Schizosaccharomyces pombe: one gene and its partners. Changing the gene in region 1 together with any one later gene gives a genetic interaction. Each region holds a gene or a part of one and is shown on either strand. Other genes may lie near its edges.

Evidence for each region.
Region 2: mutations in fta6 (region 1) and SPOM_SPBPB7E8.01 together harm fitness more than expected from each alone (negative genetic interaction), as found in Schizosaccharomyces pombe (one large-scale study listed by BioGRID).
Region 3: mutations in fta6 (region 1) and aly1 together harm fitness more than expected from each alone (negative genetic interaction), as found in Schizosaccharomyces pombe (one large-scale study listed by BioGRID).
Region 4: mutations in fta6 (region 1) and mgr2 together harm fitness more than expected from each alone (negative genetic interaction), as found in Schizosaccharomyces pombe (one large-scale study listed by BioGRID).

Annotation. Positions count from the first base shown.
Region 1 is NC_003424.3:4,781,483-4,783,821, forward strand, and holds fta6 (protein Fta6), read right to left. Parts: upstream 825-2,339; 5' UTR 792-824; coding exon 761-791; intron 714-760; coding exon 565-713; downstream 1-564. Other genes in the region: pheromone p-factor receptor Mam2, read left to right, coding at 1-252; ARP2/3 actin-organizing complex actin-related protein subunit Arp2, read left to right, coding at 1,573-1,620, 1,671-2,339. UniProt on the Schizosaccharomyces pombe protein: Component of the kinetochore, a multiprotein complex that assembles on centromeric DNA and attaches chromosomes to spindle microtubules, mediating chromosome segregation and sister chromatid segregation during meiosis and mitosis.
Region 2 is NC_003423.3:3,492,186-3,497,312, reverse strand, and holds SPOM_SPBPB7E8.01 (uncharacterized protein), read right to left. Parts: upstream 3,092-5,127; 5' UTR 2,797-3,091; coding exon 1,087-2,796; 3' UTR 536-1,086; downstream 1-535.
Region 3 is NC_003423.3:595,622-599,637, reverse strand, and holds aly1 (arrestin-related trafficking adapter), read right to left. Parts: upstream 2,341-4,016; 5' UTR 2,028-2,340; coding exon 513-2,027; downstream 1-512. Other genes in the region: neddylation protein Dcn1, read left to right, coding at 1-210; dynamin-like GTPase fzo1, read right to left, coding at 2,890-4,016.
Region 4 is NC_003423.3:1,569,633-1,572,863, forward strand, and holds mgr2 (protein Mgr2), read right to left. Parts: upstream 1,288-3,231; 5' UTR 1,221-1,287; coding exon 1,187-1,220; exon of another isoform or gene 1,144-1,186; coding exon 815-1,143; 3' UTR 572-814; downstream 1-571. Other genes in the region: SPOM_SPBC27.05 (uncharacterized protein), read left to right, coding at 114-440; sua1 (sulfate adenylyltransferase), read right to left, coding at 1,853-3,231. UniProt on the Schizosaccharomyces pombe protein: Required for cell viability in cells lacking mitochondrial DNA.

The DNA of each region.
Region 1 (2,339 bases):
ATAATAGATAGTTTTATCCATACGTATGATGGCTTTAGCTCTATGACTCAATGTCTGCTAATCATTTCTCTTCCTCTTTCGAGTTTATGGGCGTCTAGTACAGCTCTGAAATTGCAAAGCATGAAAACTTCATCTGCGCAAGGAGAAACCACCGAGGTTTCGATTAGAGTTGATAGAACGTTTGATATCAAACATACTCCCAGTGACGATTATTCGATTTCTGATGAATCTGAAACTAAAAAGTGGACGTAACTTACGCCTGAATGTATCTTTTTTGATAATTCCTAATACTGGCTCAATAACAGTCCCAAATAACATAGACGGTTTTTTTACGATAGGCTTGTAATCATAATTTGCTCAGAGGGAAGTTTTCTAATGGTTTTTTTTTTTTCGCTTCATGAACAATTGTTTACTATAAACATCAATGAAATTATATGATTATAATAACTTATTATCATGAAAACTTCAAGTCGTACTTCACAAACACTTATTAAAACAATAGTGAATGAACTGCCTTCGTAATCTATAATGAACTATAATGTTTTGAGTCTCCAAGTGCTTACCTTACGAACTTTTTTTTTTATTTAAAGCTTCTTGTACCGTAGAAGCCATATCATTCATCGAAGAAGCTAATTCCTTTCTAAGCATCGTTTGCTTTTGTACTTTGGCCGATTGCATTAGCAGTTCTTCCAGACGTGATTTAAACGTTTCCACTATATACACGTAAGTATTGAGCTATTAAATAAAAATTATAACCAACCTGCTGACAATAAAATGTATTTATCCTCCATTTATTTTTATCAAATATTGTATCGAAATGTTTTAGCTGCGAAACGTTACACTCCTTAATTTAGTAATAGCAATATAATAAGGATCTTTAAACCGATATGTGTTATTCTCAAATTGCATTGCTCCACTTATTTCAGTAAACAGATGACAAATATTCAATAATGGTATATGTCGATAATTATAATTCTTTTGTTTAAGTCTTGTATTCAATTTAATGCACACATCTAGTTACTAGAGAAATAAATTCTTTATTAAATCGGTTCCGCGATTCTTCATTTTTGCACAGCGCTCCTAGTCATACCAATCTCATAATAAACGATCGAAGTGTTACCTGCACATTAAACAAACAAATAGAGTCCGTGTTTTTCTTTTAAATAATAGTAATACTATGTGAAACGAAGAATCTTTTAACTAATAAGCGATAATATACATTACTGCCGAACAATTATAAATGCACAGTTATGGCTTTGAGTATAAGGGGTAACGATACTAATGCTAAGTACAATAGAAGATAAGATCATTAACCGTAAAAACCTTTGAGCTATTCTTTTTGCAGCCAATTGTTAAATTAATTTAGATACTTCATTTCTGTTTTATAATTCTCAAGATTACTGCACTTCGCTTTCCTACGATATTACATATTTACGATATATCACCGAATGCTCTGCTACAGTTGCAGTGCTGCTGTGTCATACGGTATATGGCAGATAGTTACCGCCGGTACATTACATAGGGGTGGACTTAAGAACTAACCTTTCACCAACTACACGAGACGTTTATAAAATGGAGTCTGCTCCCATTGTTCTAGATAATGGAACTGGTTTTGTGAAGGTAATCAGTTTAATTAAATCTTTGTTTACACTGTGACTAACGTTAGCAAGGTCGGATATGCTAAAGACAATTTTCCGCGCTTTCAATTCCCATCCATCGTAGGAAGGCCCATTTTACGTGCTGAAGAGAAAACAGGAAATGTTCAAATTAAAGATGTTATGGTCGGTGATGAAGCTGAGGCGGTGAGATCTTTACTTCAAGTAAAATATCCCATGGAAAATGGCATTATCCGTGATTTTGAAGAGATGAATCAACTTTGGGATTACACTTTCTTTGAAAAACTAAAAATTGATCCGAGGGGTAGGAAAATTTTGTTGACCGAGCCCCCTATGAATCCTGTTGCTAACCGCGAAAAAATGTGTGAGACAATGTTTGAACGGTATGGTTTTGGTGGTGTTTATGTCGCCATTCAGGCCGTTCTCTCTTTATACGCACAGGGATTAAGCAGTGGTGTAGTTGTTGATTCTGGTGACGGTGTAACCCATATTGTGCCTGTCTATGAAAGTGTTGTTTTAAATCATTTAGTTGGTCGCCTTGACGTTGCCGGTAGGGATGCTACCCGCTATTTGATTAGCTTACTTCTTCGTAAGGGTTATGCTTTCAATCGTACAGCAGACTTTGAAACTGTTCGCGAGATGAAAGAAAAACTTTGTTACGTTAGTTATGATTTGGAATTGGACCATAAGCTTAGCGAAGAAACTACCGTTTTAATGCGTAAT
Region 2 (5,127 bases), on another chromosome or scaffold:
CCCATTTTCGGCTATGACTACTTTCGGATAAGGTTGCTGATGGTTATTGCATTTTAACATCTGGCGTTCACACCATTCAAGCATATGACGACGATAATCGAAGCACAAATGCCGCCCATTGTGTCAATCAGATCAACGACAAAAGCGCGGGACCGCTCGTAACGATCGTTAGTGCTTAAGACGGAGACAATTTCTATATAACGAAAGATTTTTAAACGTTAAAACCGTTGTCTCTTATACAGCCATCAATTATAGTGAATAAATGTGCTAGCAAACATTATATATATATATATATATTTATATATTCCATTACCGTGTTTACATGTCTTTCCCACATTTAATATAATTTATTTACTCACAAAAATGCATATTTTTAAATTCATCACCATATCAATCTTAGTATATAGGATTTTTTTACACATGTCATCCGATTGTAACAAAACTCACTCTCACAATATTAATCGCATCTACCGCTCTATCGTCATACAAAGTACCTTCTATCACACTACTTTTTTACAGCGACTTAACTAAGATTAAAACAAAAACATCAATCGATTAAATTTCGTTCGCGTAAAACTGAAAGCATTCCCTTCATTAAAGAGTTAAAAAAAAAAAATATTAAGTGTTTGTAAAATACACACGAAAATTTGAGTGAGACAAATGACCCAAACACTATTATAGAGGCATATATATAAAATATACATCATCACGTCGGTTAAAAAGCAACGGAATTATAATCACACAATTCGGGTAAAGTATCTTGTAAAAAGATAAAATGTTTTTATAACTTAACAAACAAAAGGGCAGATCGAAATTCTATAGAAATATGTGCAAGGTATATTGATACAGTTATCAACCAAAATTATAATTTAGTAGCAATCTTCAAAATAAAACTAGTGTTTCGCGTTTGCATAAGAAAACAAAGTATTAAACAAGGCTTCATATCGTCATTAATAGTATCATCTCCTAGCAATAAAAATTAATTGACTTTGATGGCCAAATCATAAAAATCTCACTAACAGCTAATTTAAAGCTTTATTATATAGTAATATACATCAGGAAGATTCAATTTGAAAATCAACCGCGTTAAAACAAACTTGCAGTAATCAAGCACAATCCTGCAGTCAAAGTCATCATCAAATTCTTGGAAACACTGAACAAATCACCAGCTGCTCCAGAGGTGGCGGATGTTGAACTAGACGCAGAAGCAGATGATGAAGCAGTTGAACTTGATGAGGTAGTTGTAGTAGTGTTGGTGGCATTAGTAGAAGTGGTGTTGGTTGAATCCAAGATAGATGTCTCTCTTCTCAAAGGATGAAGAGCAAGCTGTTTACCAGTTGGAGCAGTCTTGGGTTTTTCAGACAACGATCTCTTAGCCAAGCTCTCGCTATATTCGTTGGTAACACCAGTAAGGTTGTTGACCGAGTAGCCCATACGTCTGAAGACAGTACGCATAGCAGGACCGATGGGACCGTAAGCGACATCGGCTTGATCACTTCCATAAGCACACTCGATGTAGGATTCAAGAGTAGCGCCAGCAGTATAGAAAGCACGCATCAAAAAGTTGGGCTCACAATCATAATGATGAAGAGCTACATGAGACAAAGATGATCCAGATGAAAATGGAACATAGGAAGAATCCAAGTAAATAAAAGGTGAATAGGTGTCAATGCCTGCATCAGGGTAGATAACCAATCTACCGGGATTAATGGCCTTGCGGTAAGCTTCGTTAGCTTGGATATGGAACTGAGTAGTTGTATCATTCATCTGGGCAACAACACCGGCAATGGAGTCAGCCTTAAGGGTAAATGCAGCACCGACACTATGGAAAAATTCAGCAATGGTAGGTAATCCCTCATTAGGGTCGATAGAATAAAAAATATTCCTGTCAAAAGCATTCTCAATAACATCATGGAAAGCATACATAGTTTCTCCATTCATTTCACCAATAACATATGAGACAGTGGGTAAAAGAGCGTTCATATAAGGATCAGTGAGATTCTCATATCCGAATACACCCCATCCAGTTGAGAAACCAAGACCATGAGTTATTTCATGGAAAAGGACATAAGCCAAATCTACTGCTTCGTAGCCCATATCACCAGAGCCAAAGTAGAAATTAGCATCAGCGTTCAGGGCAATCGTAATATCGCTGTCAGCATATGAAGGAGGATCAGAAAGACCAAGTTGCTTAACTACAGCCTGAGGATAATAACGAGTTAAACCATCACTGCAAGCCATGGGAATTTCACGAGAAGGAGAAGCTTCACCGCCAATACTGCCTGCTACCATACCTTGACCCTGGGAACAAACAGACTCGCCAGTACAAGCACCAACAACGGTAACATCGATAACAATTGGGGTGTTAAGGTTAAGCACACGTGAGAATTGTTCACCCACGGAGTCAGCTACATCAATGTATTGCTGACATAACGTGTCATTGCTATGGCCATCAGAACCGAAATAGCAAGAAAAGTTAAAATCAAACATGTTCGTGGTTGAACGCTTGCTGAATGATTCCTTGTCAACGTTGACAATGGCGCCATCACGAGGGGCAAGGGGTAATAATTGGAAATCGGAAGGGTTCATATTTCCGTCAAAAGACCGCTTGTAGACACCTTCAGCATTAGGATCCAAGTCCCTTTTGTTAACAGTGGGAATACATTCCGATTCGAAACGAACCGACTCCAAAGTTCTCTTGTCGAAAGTAGTATCACGGCAGAAATACTGTGCAGAAACACCCTGAAGCATACTAGCACATTTCAAAATCAAAGCAGCCTTAACAAGAAGTGACATCGTGACTTCAAAAAAATTAACGAGAATAAAGAAAAAGAAAGGCGGGTATTAATTTCAATTCAAAAAAAAAGAACACAAAGGACTATAGAAAACACAAATAAAACAAGCGTTTTCAAAAATCAAGAAGAATAAAAAAACTCTAAAAAAGAAAAAAACCAAAAAAGTAAAAGTTAAGAAAAAATCTAATACAAAAGGAAGTAGTAATTAACTTCCAATTGTAAACGAATTGTATGAGCAAAAGAATGAAAACTCAACAACCGCTTTCAGTTAGAAAAGATCGTGTACAAATGATGTTGAAATCGATGACAGTCGAGGTTGTTTATATACTTTTGCGATTTAAAAACCGCCAGATAATTGAGGACTGGTAGAAAATCCAGCACATGACCTTGCGTAATGCAGCCAGCATTTTCATGCGATAGATGAACAAAAGTGCCGCTCTCTCACCACGTAAGATCCGCCAGCGCAGTGATTCATTTGCGCTAAATACTCAATAAAATGTAAGGAAGTAATGTTTTAACATGCTTAACCATAAAAAGCGAAGTATCGAGGGAATTTCCACTTGGTTTCGGTCCAAAAGTTAAAATATATCCGCAATTGGTGGAAAAAAATCCTCTTCCTTTATCAACCAAGTGCACCTCGGCTTGGCCAAAGCATAGTCAGTATCGATTTGCTACCAGCAAAGAGCAGTCACGGAAACCAAGAAAGAGGTTGGATAGTAGGTTGACCCTTGCAAATCCTTGAAGATGCGGACAGTTTAACTATCAGCTCGTTTAGTGGAATGGAAAATCAGCTGTTGTAAAGAGTCCACCGTGAACCAAAAAGTCAAGCGATATCTCGTAAGCATCGTAAAACAAGTCCGTGCGCAATCCTGCCACCTTCTACATTGCATTTAGTAGATAGAGATAATTGAAGCCTTTTTAATACAACGTTCATGAACTCAGTAAAACCAGTTTTCTTAAAAATTATGGTAAACTAGATGCGAAAGTCGGAAGAGTGAAACTCCATGCGCGCTTTCAAAATTAGCGATATTTTATTTTCAAGTGAAAAAAATGAGTAATGAAAGGCGCGACTAACTGAACGTGACTGCAGAAATTTTTAATTTCATACCGAAATCGTACATGGATGTAAATTTAGGGAAAGTCTCTTGATATTGACAAATGGTTAGCATTATAATCCAGAACAGTCTGCATCCCAAAATGACTAGACACAATGAAGGTTAATAACATTAGTCTACCAAGCCTACGGAGCAATCTCTCAATTCCCAAAAATAGACACAGTTTTAATTCTCCTTACTTATGATCGTTTTACAAACACCGAATTTTAATCAATAATCGTTGAATGCATGTTGCTCATTGTCAAACTTCTTCCGATTACTTGAACGTGGGAATCCTATCCAATTGACATTCGTCTTCCCAGAAAAAAATTTTGTAGGGAAGAATTGAATCATTGAAAGACACGTTTTTAAAACAATTGGAAATAAATTATGTTGTAATAGAAAAAAAACAAAGTTTATGCAACTTTTCGCACTTCGGTCACCAACGACGCTGGTTAACGAAAAACGGAACTAACTTAATTCCGTTCCTTTTGAAGGTTTTGCATCTAGAGACAAAGAATTGCAATATCGTGCATTTTAATTCTGTTTAATGATAAATGGTCGTCACAATTGCTTCTAATTAAGTTGACAGCTAGCTAGCTCAATTTGCTGGACGCTGGGAAAAGCAACTAACTATTGGAGTAGTTGATCGGTATCAGGGCGATTGACGACTAGCACACAGACGGAAACATGGATTTCGATCCGTTTTTGCGGAAGTACTCCCAAAACTAATATCCAGCACTGATGCTTAATGGAGAGCATTAAAGCATGATTCGTTCAGGTAATTGAAAAACGGTAATTTCAGGTGAAAAAAAAAATTTACTATCAGGACCTTTGCATTCTCAATAGGATAAATGAACATAGCTTTATCCGGCAATTCCTAAATTTGATCCATGTATATCAACGAATCTCCTTGAAACATGGTAATATAGGAAGCAACGAAGCTTTCATACAGAAGTGTCGTTTTATTCATTTAACAACGCTTAGGTTTTTCTATTGGTATATTCAACGATAATGCAAATGATTTAAAGCAAGCAAAAAATGATGCCTTTTTTTGACAGAGTTTTTTTGGTTTGAATAAACCGGAGTAGGCGAACAAAATTATTCACATAAATAAGACTGCAGAAATCACCAGATTTTCTTAAGCTACATTTTGTCTACGATCCACAAAGATTTCACCTTGAGTAAGAGTCAGAGAACATACTTGGAAAATGAGGTTGTGAATGGGAATTCAAAGG
Region 3 (4,016 bases), on another chromosome or scaffold:
CTGGATGATTGGATTGCTTTTTTAAAAGTTTCCCCTATTATCGAAAAATCTCTGCCAAAGGATACGTGGAATGAATTATGGGATTTTAGTGTATTTGTTAAATCAGATCCCAATTGCTCTAATTATGATTTTGAAGGTGCGTGGCCAACCCTCATAGACGAGTTCGTGTCTTACTATAGAGAACACGGTTATAAAAACAGCAGCTCCTAACAAATAACTGCTTTTCTGTAAGTTGATTTCAATGACATCAATGAAAAAATAATAAACTCTTACACCCCAATAATTCTCTACAGCAAACTGCTGCTAGTTTAACCCTAAAAACATTTTAGTAATGAGACACATATGTTTAATAATAAGAAAAATAATGAATATATTAATGAAACTATAAAAAGAACATGTACAACAGTCAATGGAAATAGCAAGTGCGAAAAAAAATATAATAACAAAAACGTTTATATACAAGGCAAGACAAAAATGCAAATAGATAATAAATCACAGATAAATAATAGATACTAGTTGTCATCATGATTTTCATCATGACTGCTGCCACTTTGAAAAATATCATCGTACTTTGGAGGTGGTGCTTGATACGGGACAGCGGTCCAGGAATCAAAGGATGGTGGAGAATTTCCGATAATGTCAGAATCAAGTGCGAGATCCCTGTTCATACCAGCAATGATTCTGTTGTCGATTGAGCAAAAATTTACCTCACTAGAGGGGATAATAGGACAATACGCAGGTAGCATAGTTGAACCATCAGAACATCTGCAAGATAAGAGTCGGACAGGAGAATCAATATAGATTTCCAAATATTTTGCAGAGCCCATTAATTCAGGAGAATTTTCGCAAGAAAAGCGAAGTACTGTACGCACAGTATGTGTTATTTTAATGTTTGGATACGTAGTATCGAAATGCACAATATTGGCAGCCATGTCATGACATCCAGGAATACGTACCTGATCAGACAGTTCGTAAACATCAGGTCTAACCTGCTTCCAATCGGAGAGCAAACATTGGTTCTTTGGAGCACTACGCTCATACAGAAGTAGTTGTCTGGTTTTCTCTTTTCGACGGACTGAACGTTGGCGACAATAATAATATCTTCGCTCCATTAAAAAAAGGCGAAGTTTATGAAACTTGACTTCACCCAAGAGGGTGAATTTAAAGTTGACAGGAACTACTTGACCCATTACAACACATTTCTCACCGACTTGAACCTCGTAGTGAAGCCTATCTTCCCAACTCTTTGAGACAAGTATAGGTTCTGAAGTCGCAACACTAGTACTACACGGGCTACGAATTAATTCAATGGGAATCCTGCCGGTGGACTTACCAGAGAAGGTGCTGCTTCTGTCCACCAATGTCTCTAAGAAATAATATACACGACCCATATCGGTCTGTATAGATTCTGGATATGTACAAGAGATAGGAAGCTCAAAATTATACACGTATTCTCCAGGGTAAAAGCATTCCATACTGCGGGGATAGTGTGCGGTATCTGCGTAATGAGGCAAAACTTTGTACCACACTGCACCATGTGAATTCTCATCCACTTTCTGTTCAGAATGAAAAAATACCCAGCAATGATTCATAATACTGTTCTCTTCATATGTGTCAAAGAGTTTTGGAGGAATGCCTTCAGGCCATTCTGTTCTCGATTTTCCTTTAAAGCTCAGTTGTATCTTTTTCAATTTCACAGGCTTATAAATTTGAATGCACAAAGATCCACGCAAAACAGCTGAATGTTCACTTTGAATTTCACTTGAAGTCGCTCCAGGTAAATAGAGCACAGGTTCAGCAAGCGCAATAGCTACTCTGGCATTAGAGTTAGAAGAAAGCAGAAGCCATTCACGAGCTCGATATGATAGACCTTCACATTTACTAATTTTCTCTTCCTGGTATATATGTTGCGAGGGATCAGGCTGTGTGGTTCTATCAGTCAAGCGAATTACAGGGTTGTAGCCATTGGAAGAAGGTCCGTAAGGAAACACCTTGTCGTGATAATTTCTCAGATTGGGAATATACATCAAACGAGATACACACTATGATAGTACTTCGCAACTATGTATCTCAGAACAAGCACCTTGCAAGGCGTACTTCAGAGGCCTAAAAATCGAGATGAACAAATGAATTAAAGATAAAAAATGCACAGCTTAAATGACAGCGTATTGTTTTTAAAATACACTAACTAATTGAAATATCGTCGCTCAAAGAAGTAAGAATATGGAACAAGCGGCTCTGTAACCAAAAGAAATTGGTATATTTCCAAAATATGTATAAAAACCGTAAAATGAAATTTCAGATAGCAATTCAAAAAAAGATTGTGATAAGGGGCTTTTCAGAAATTGCCAGCACGGTAACGCTAGTAGATGTGCTGCATACATTTTATAACCATATAATGATGATATTTATCAAAAATCATTATATCGTCTTATATCAAGTTCTGTTCTACTTTGGAGATGTGTTATTAAATAGATTTTATAATTTAGATCATTACATTTTGACATAAACATTTTATGTATGAAAGAATTGAGTGGATGCAATATAACTTGAGGAAAATTCCAGTTTATAAAATGTTCTTATCGACTTTGAAAGACATCAGAAACCTAAATAAAAAACTCATGGCTTTAGTAGTTGAAGTATATTGACCTCAGCAGAATTAAAATATTAAATGCCATGCTTCCCAATATTGCATTCGTGCTACGAAATTGAATATGGATGATTACTCGGAAATGGAAATTTGATGTATCTTGAATTCATTAATCTTGGAATGTAAAATATAAGATGAAATCATCAAACATAAACTCGAAGAGTATATCGTTTTCAGTAAGGAAGGCCACTTCCAATTTTCTTTTCTTTTTTTTTAAAACTTAGCCTCAGCCCGTACTGCTAATAATTTATATCACATCCCTCCAATTGAACCATCATTATCTTCTTCTTAGCTTCACGAGTTCGGCTTTCTATTTCACCAAAAAACTTTCTTGCTTTTTGACAAATTCGTAAGTCATTCTCAGCGACAGATATAGTCTCGCGCTGCTTATCCCATTGTTGGTGAAACATTCTTCGTAAATCATTCAACGGAATATTGAGAACTTTACGACTCTCTGTACCTATCCAAATACTAGCATTGTGACAAAAATCTGTCTCCCTTAAAGATTTTTTTATCTTTTCCGCAACTTTAAGAGGAAGTGCTCTAGGTATATCGTAAATAACATACCCAAAAACGCAAATACTTGCTAAACCAAGTACCGGGACCAATAAGTGTTGAAGCGAGTTATTTTGAAAATATTTAAATATTGGATAACCAAGATTTCCAGTAAATGCACCAAGCGTTGTAAATGAAGGGGTTGTTTTTCCAAGGACCAAGAGAATAGTACTCAATGAAGCGCTCCAGGTTCCTAATCTCTCAGTAAGGTCTAGATCTATAAAATCAAGCAAGCCAAGTTCAAATCGAAAATGCTTCTGCAGTTGCAATCTATGTTTCTTAATAAACATTTGGTTGGCATGAAAGACTGGAAGGACGGCGGAGTCAAAATTATCTTTTACATCTTTTTGAATACATAAGACAGCTTCTTCGGTCCTCTTTCGAGCATAATCTTCTGACTCCAACAATTTTTCTTCTAAATATTGTTGCATGGCGTCTCTTACGGATATCGCATACTGGTAGGCAAAGAAAAAACCAGAATACTTGACAGAAGCAAAAGAACCTAATGAGTCAATAGCATCTTCTAATTCGGAATGTGTATGCTGAGAAATAGATTGCACAGTCGCTTCAACTAAAGATTCATTCTTCTGATAGGTAAATTGCTGCTCATGTTTTACCTTACGAAATTTTGGAGAAAGATCCGTCAAACGTTGTTGCAAGTGATTAATATCAAAATCGATAAGTTTTATGTTATATTCGCAGATATTAAGTATATCACCGACTAACCCTGACAAGTATCTACGTACCGGGGCAAGTTTAGATTTTGAGCGATTTTCGAGAATGAAGCTACGGAGAGAGTTTTCCATCTGAA
Region 4 (3,231 bases), on another chromosome or scaffold:
ACCTTTTTGCAGGTGCTTTCAAGTTTTTTTTTGAATTTTGGCTAAGAAGCAAACGAAAGATTTTGAAGACTATGCTTTCGCAACTTTATGAACGCAGTAAATTCTGCTTATGAATGGTGCATACAACGGTTTATGGACTTGCATATTTATTTTATTCTGGCATTAATTGCATTTTGCTTTACCAGTTGGAGATTGAATCGAAGTTTTATATAAGATACCAACTAATAATGCGTGTACAAAAAGAGACAACAGACGCATTTACATTACAATTAGCATCTAAAGAAGTGATAACATCAAGCATATATAATACATTTAATAATACTAATGAGCATATGTATCTTCAACCCATATGTAACCGAATCTTCCTTATGACAAGCATTATTGATATTGCAAGTTTTAAGGCACAAGTATTGTTTCTAAATATCTTTATGATCAAATAATAATTAGCTTATTTGTAATAGCTTGTCTTCGATCATTTTTTGTAACTATTGCTACAAATATTATTCATCGAAACAAACTAATTTACCAATTTACCACCTAGCAAATTACCCAAATCTTTAAATCGTAAAAATTTTAAGGAAAATTAAATCGCCATCAAAATATTAACAATATGGTATAAAGACTTTTTTAAACATGAACTATCAGAAAAATGCAAAAGTCCTTTGATGTAGCGGCCAAAGCTTTTTAGTTTAAATGCATGATAGTACAATCATCAGTACATCTTTAACTCAGAATTCAGGAGAAACAAATATTGTACCTCATATACTAACAAAATGATAGTATGATACTTTTATTATAATCGGATTAAACGAAATTAGCACTCAGCAACTTCATTTGATTTACGTGGAGAACTTTTGGCCTGTTGCATAGCCAAGGCAAAAATACGACTGGAATTTGCATTTTCATTTAATAATCTTTGATTCCAATGTGAGCCTGACTGCTGTATTAGTGGTATATCTTCGTTGCGAATTACAGAGCCGATGGACATGAAAAAGCCAAAAGTGGCCGCAGATGTTAACATGTATTGACCTAAGGTCCTTAAGAATCCACGTGGACCAGGCCCATAGCGCAAAACTGCTACTCCTCCAAATAAAAACCCGATGCCAAGTCCAGCAGCTGAACCCATAATGGCGCCCATTTTTACTGTTCAGTGTTAATGACTGAATTCATACAATATAGAACTTACGCTTATCCACAGTTGAAGGTTGCATAGATTGCATTTTGAGTAGTTAAAGGTCTTACTTTTATTTAGAAATAGAGAGCACTAGTTTCAAGGGGGATTTTGTTGGTAGGAAAAGTAAGGTAGTATACAGTTATTATATTGGATACCTAGGTATAACAATAGATGTAACAATTTCTTTTGTTAAATCAATAGTTTAGTTTAGGAAATGTTAATTTAAAGAAAACCTATATATATATTTTTTATAAGCCCAGTTTTTTTAAGTAAATGTAACAATGTATTACATCCAGGCATGCGTTAAGTGAGAGCATAGGCTTAACGTTATAATGACTTCTGAATTAAAATAAAACATTGCATTGGCATGTATTGCAATTGCTAAAGTCTGCTATGTATATCTGACATATATAATAAATTAATTCCCCTCGGCTTCGGATTGAATTTCCTACCTTTTGTTATTAAGAAGCCTATCGCTAATTAATTACTAACATGTCCTTAGCGAAATTTAATTGAGTTGCATTCTTAGTTACATCTACAAATGGCAAAGTTCTAATGAGGGAGTGTTGTCATTCCTGCAGCAATTATTTTATTATTTAATAGACAAGTAGAACATAAAAGAACAAAAATGGATATATGTATATATATATATATATATATATGTCAAAAAACATTATTTTAAAGATAGCCTTCGTCAGACAATTGTGAAAGGACAGCAAAAGTAACCTCAGAAACAGAGTCTTTGGGCTTGATGTTTACGGTAGTCCACTCAGCAGGTACTTTAACAGATGCATCAGCATCAGCCAGAGAAACAACAACGGCAGCACCAGCACGTTGCAATTCTTGGGCGTAAAACACTGAAATAGCATCTAAGCGAGGTAAAAGAGTGACATGGCGGCGACCATCCTCGTTCAAGGCTGAAACTAGAGCGCTGGGGAGAAGTTTATCGGAGGTGGCAGGAACAGCCAAAACAAATCCTTGAGAGTATTTGGGAGGATAGGATTGACGTAAAATAGCGACAACCTCTGGATAAGAGAACCACTCAGGGATGTTGGCACCGACGCGAAGACGGCGACGAAGTTCAGTACCACTGATGTTCAAAGTACGGGTACCGGGTTCGACTTTGTCAACTGGCTTGTAGATGTCCTCATCAGGAAGGTAAGTCATCATTTGGAAAGGAACAATGGTGATACCGATTTCCTGAGCGTATTGTTCAACAAGGTACTGAGCATCGTAAGGACCATAAAAATCCTCGCCTTGACTGTTCTTACCAGGACCAGCATGATCACGACCAATGATGAAATGAGAAGCACCGTAGTTCTTACGAATGATGGCGTGCCATAAAGCTTCACGAGGACCAGCCATACGCATGGCTAAGGGAAGAAGAGAGAGCTTGGCGGAACCCTTAGGATAGCGTTGGAGAATAGCCTCGTAAACACGCACACGGGTGAAGTGATCGATATCACCAGGCTTGGTCATACCGACGACAGGGTGAATGAGCACACGGGCACCGTGTTGCTTAGCAGCACGGACGGTAAGCTCACGATGGGCGCGATGCATGGGATTACGGGTTTGGAAAGCAACGACGCGATTCCAGTTGTTACGCTGGAAGTCAGAGCGAAGTTGAGCAGGTGAGTAGCGGTACTCTACGAAATCGAAATGGCGAATAGGAGTAACGGCTTGAAGTTTACCACCAACATACACATTTCCAGCACGACCAAACAAGTAGTCGACGGCAGGGTGGGCGCGATCATTAGCACCAAATACCTTTTCAGCTTCGTTCGCCTTATCTGGGGTATACTTGTCCTCAACAGTCAAAATGGCAATAACAGTTTGCCCATCCCTAGGATCTAATAATGCAACACGATCACCGGCCTTCAAAGAATCGGCCTGCGATTCATTGAGGTCCAAGGTGATAGGGATGGGAAAGACCTCGCCAGTGCTGAGACGCAAATTCTCGACGACATTCAAATAATCCTTTTGGTTCATGAATCCGTCTAATGGACTGAAACCTCCGTTCAAAATGAGTTCCACATCGCAAAACTGACGTTCCGATA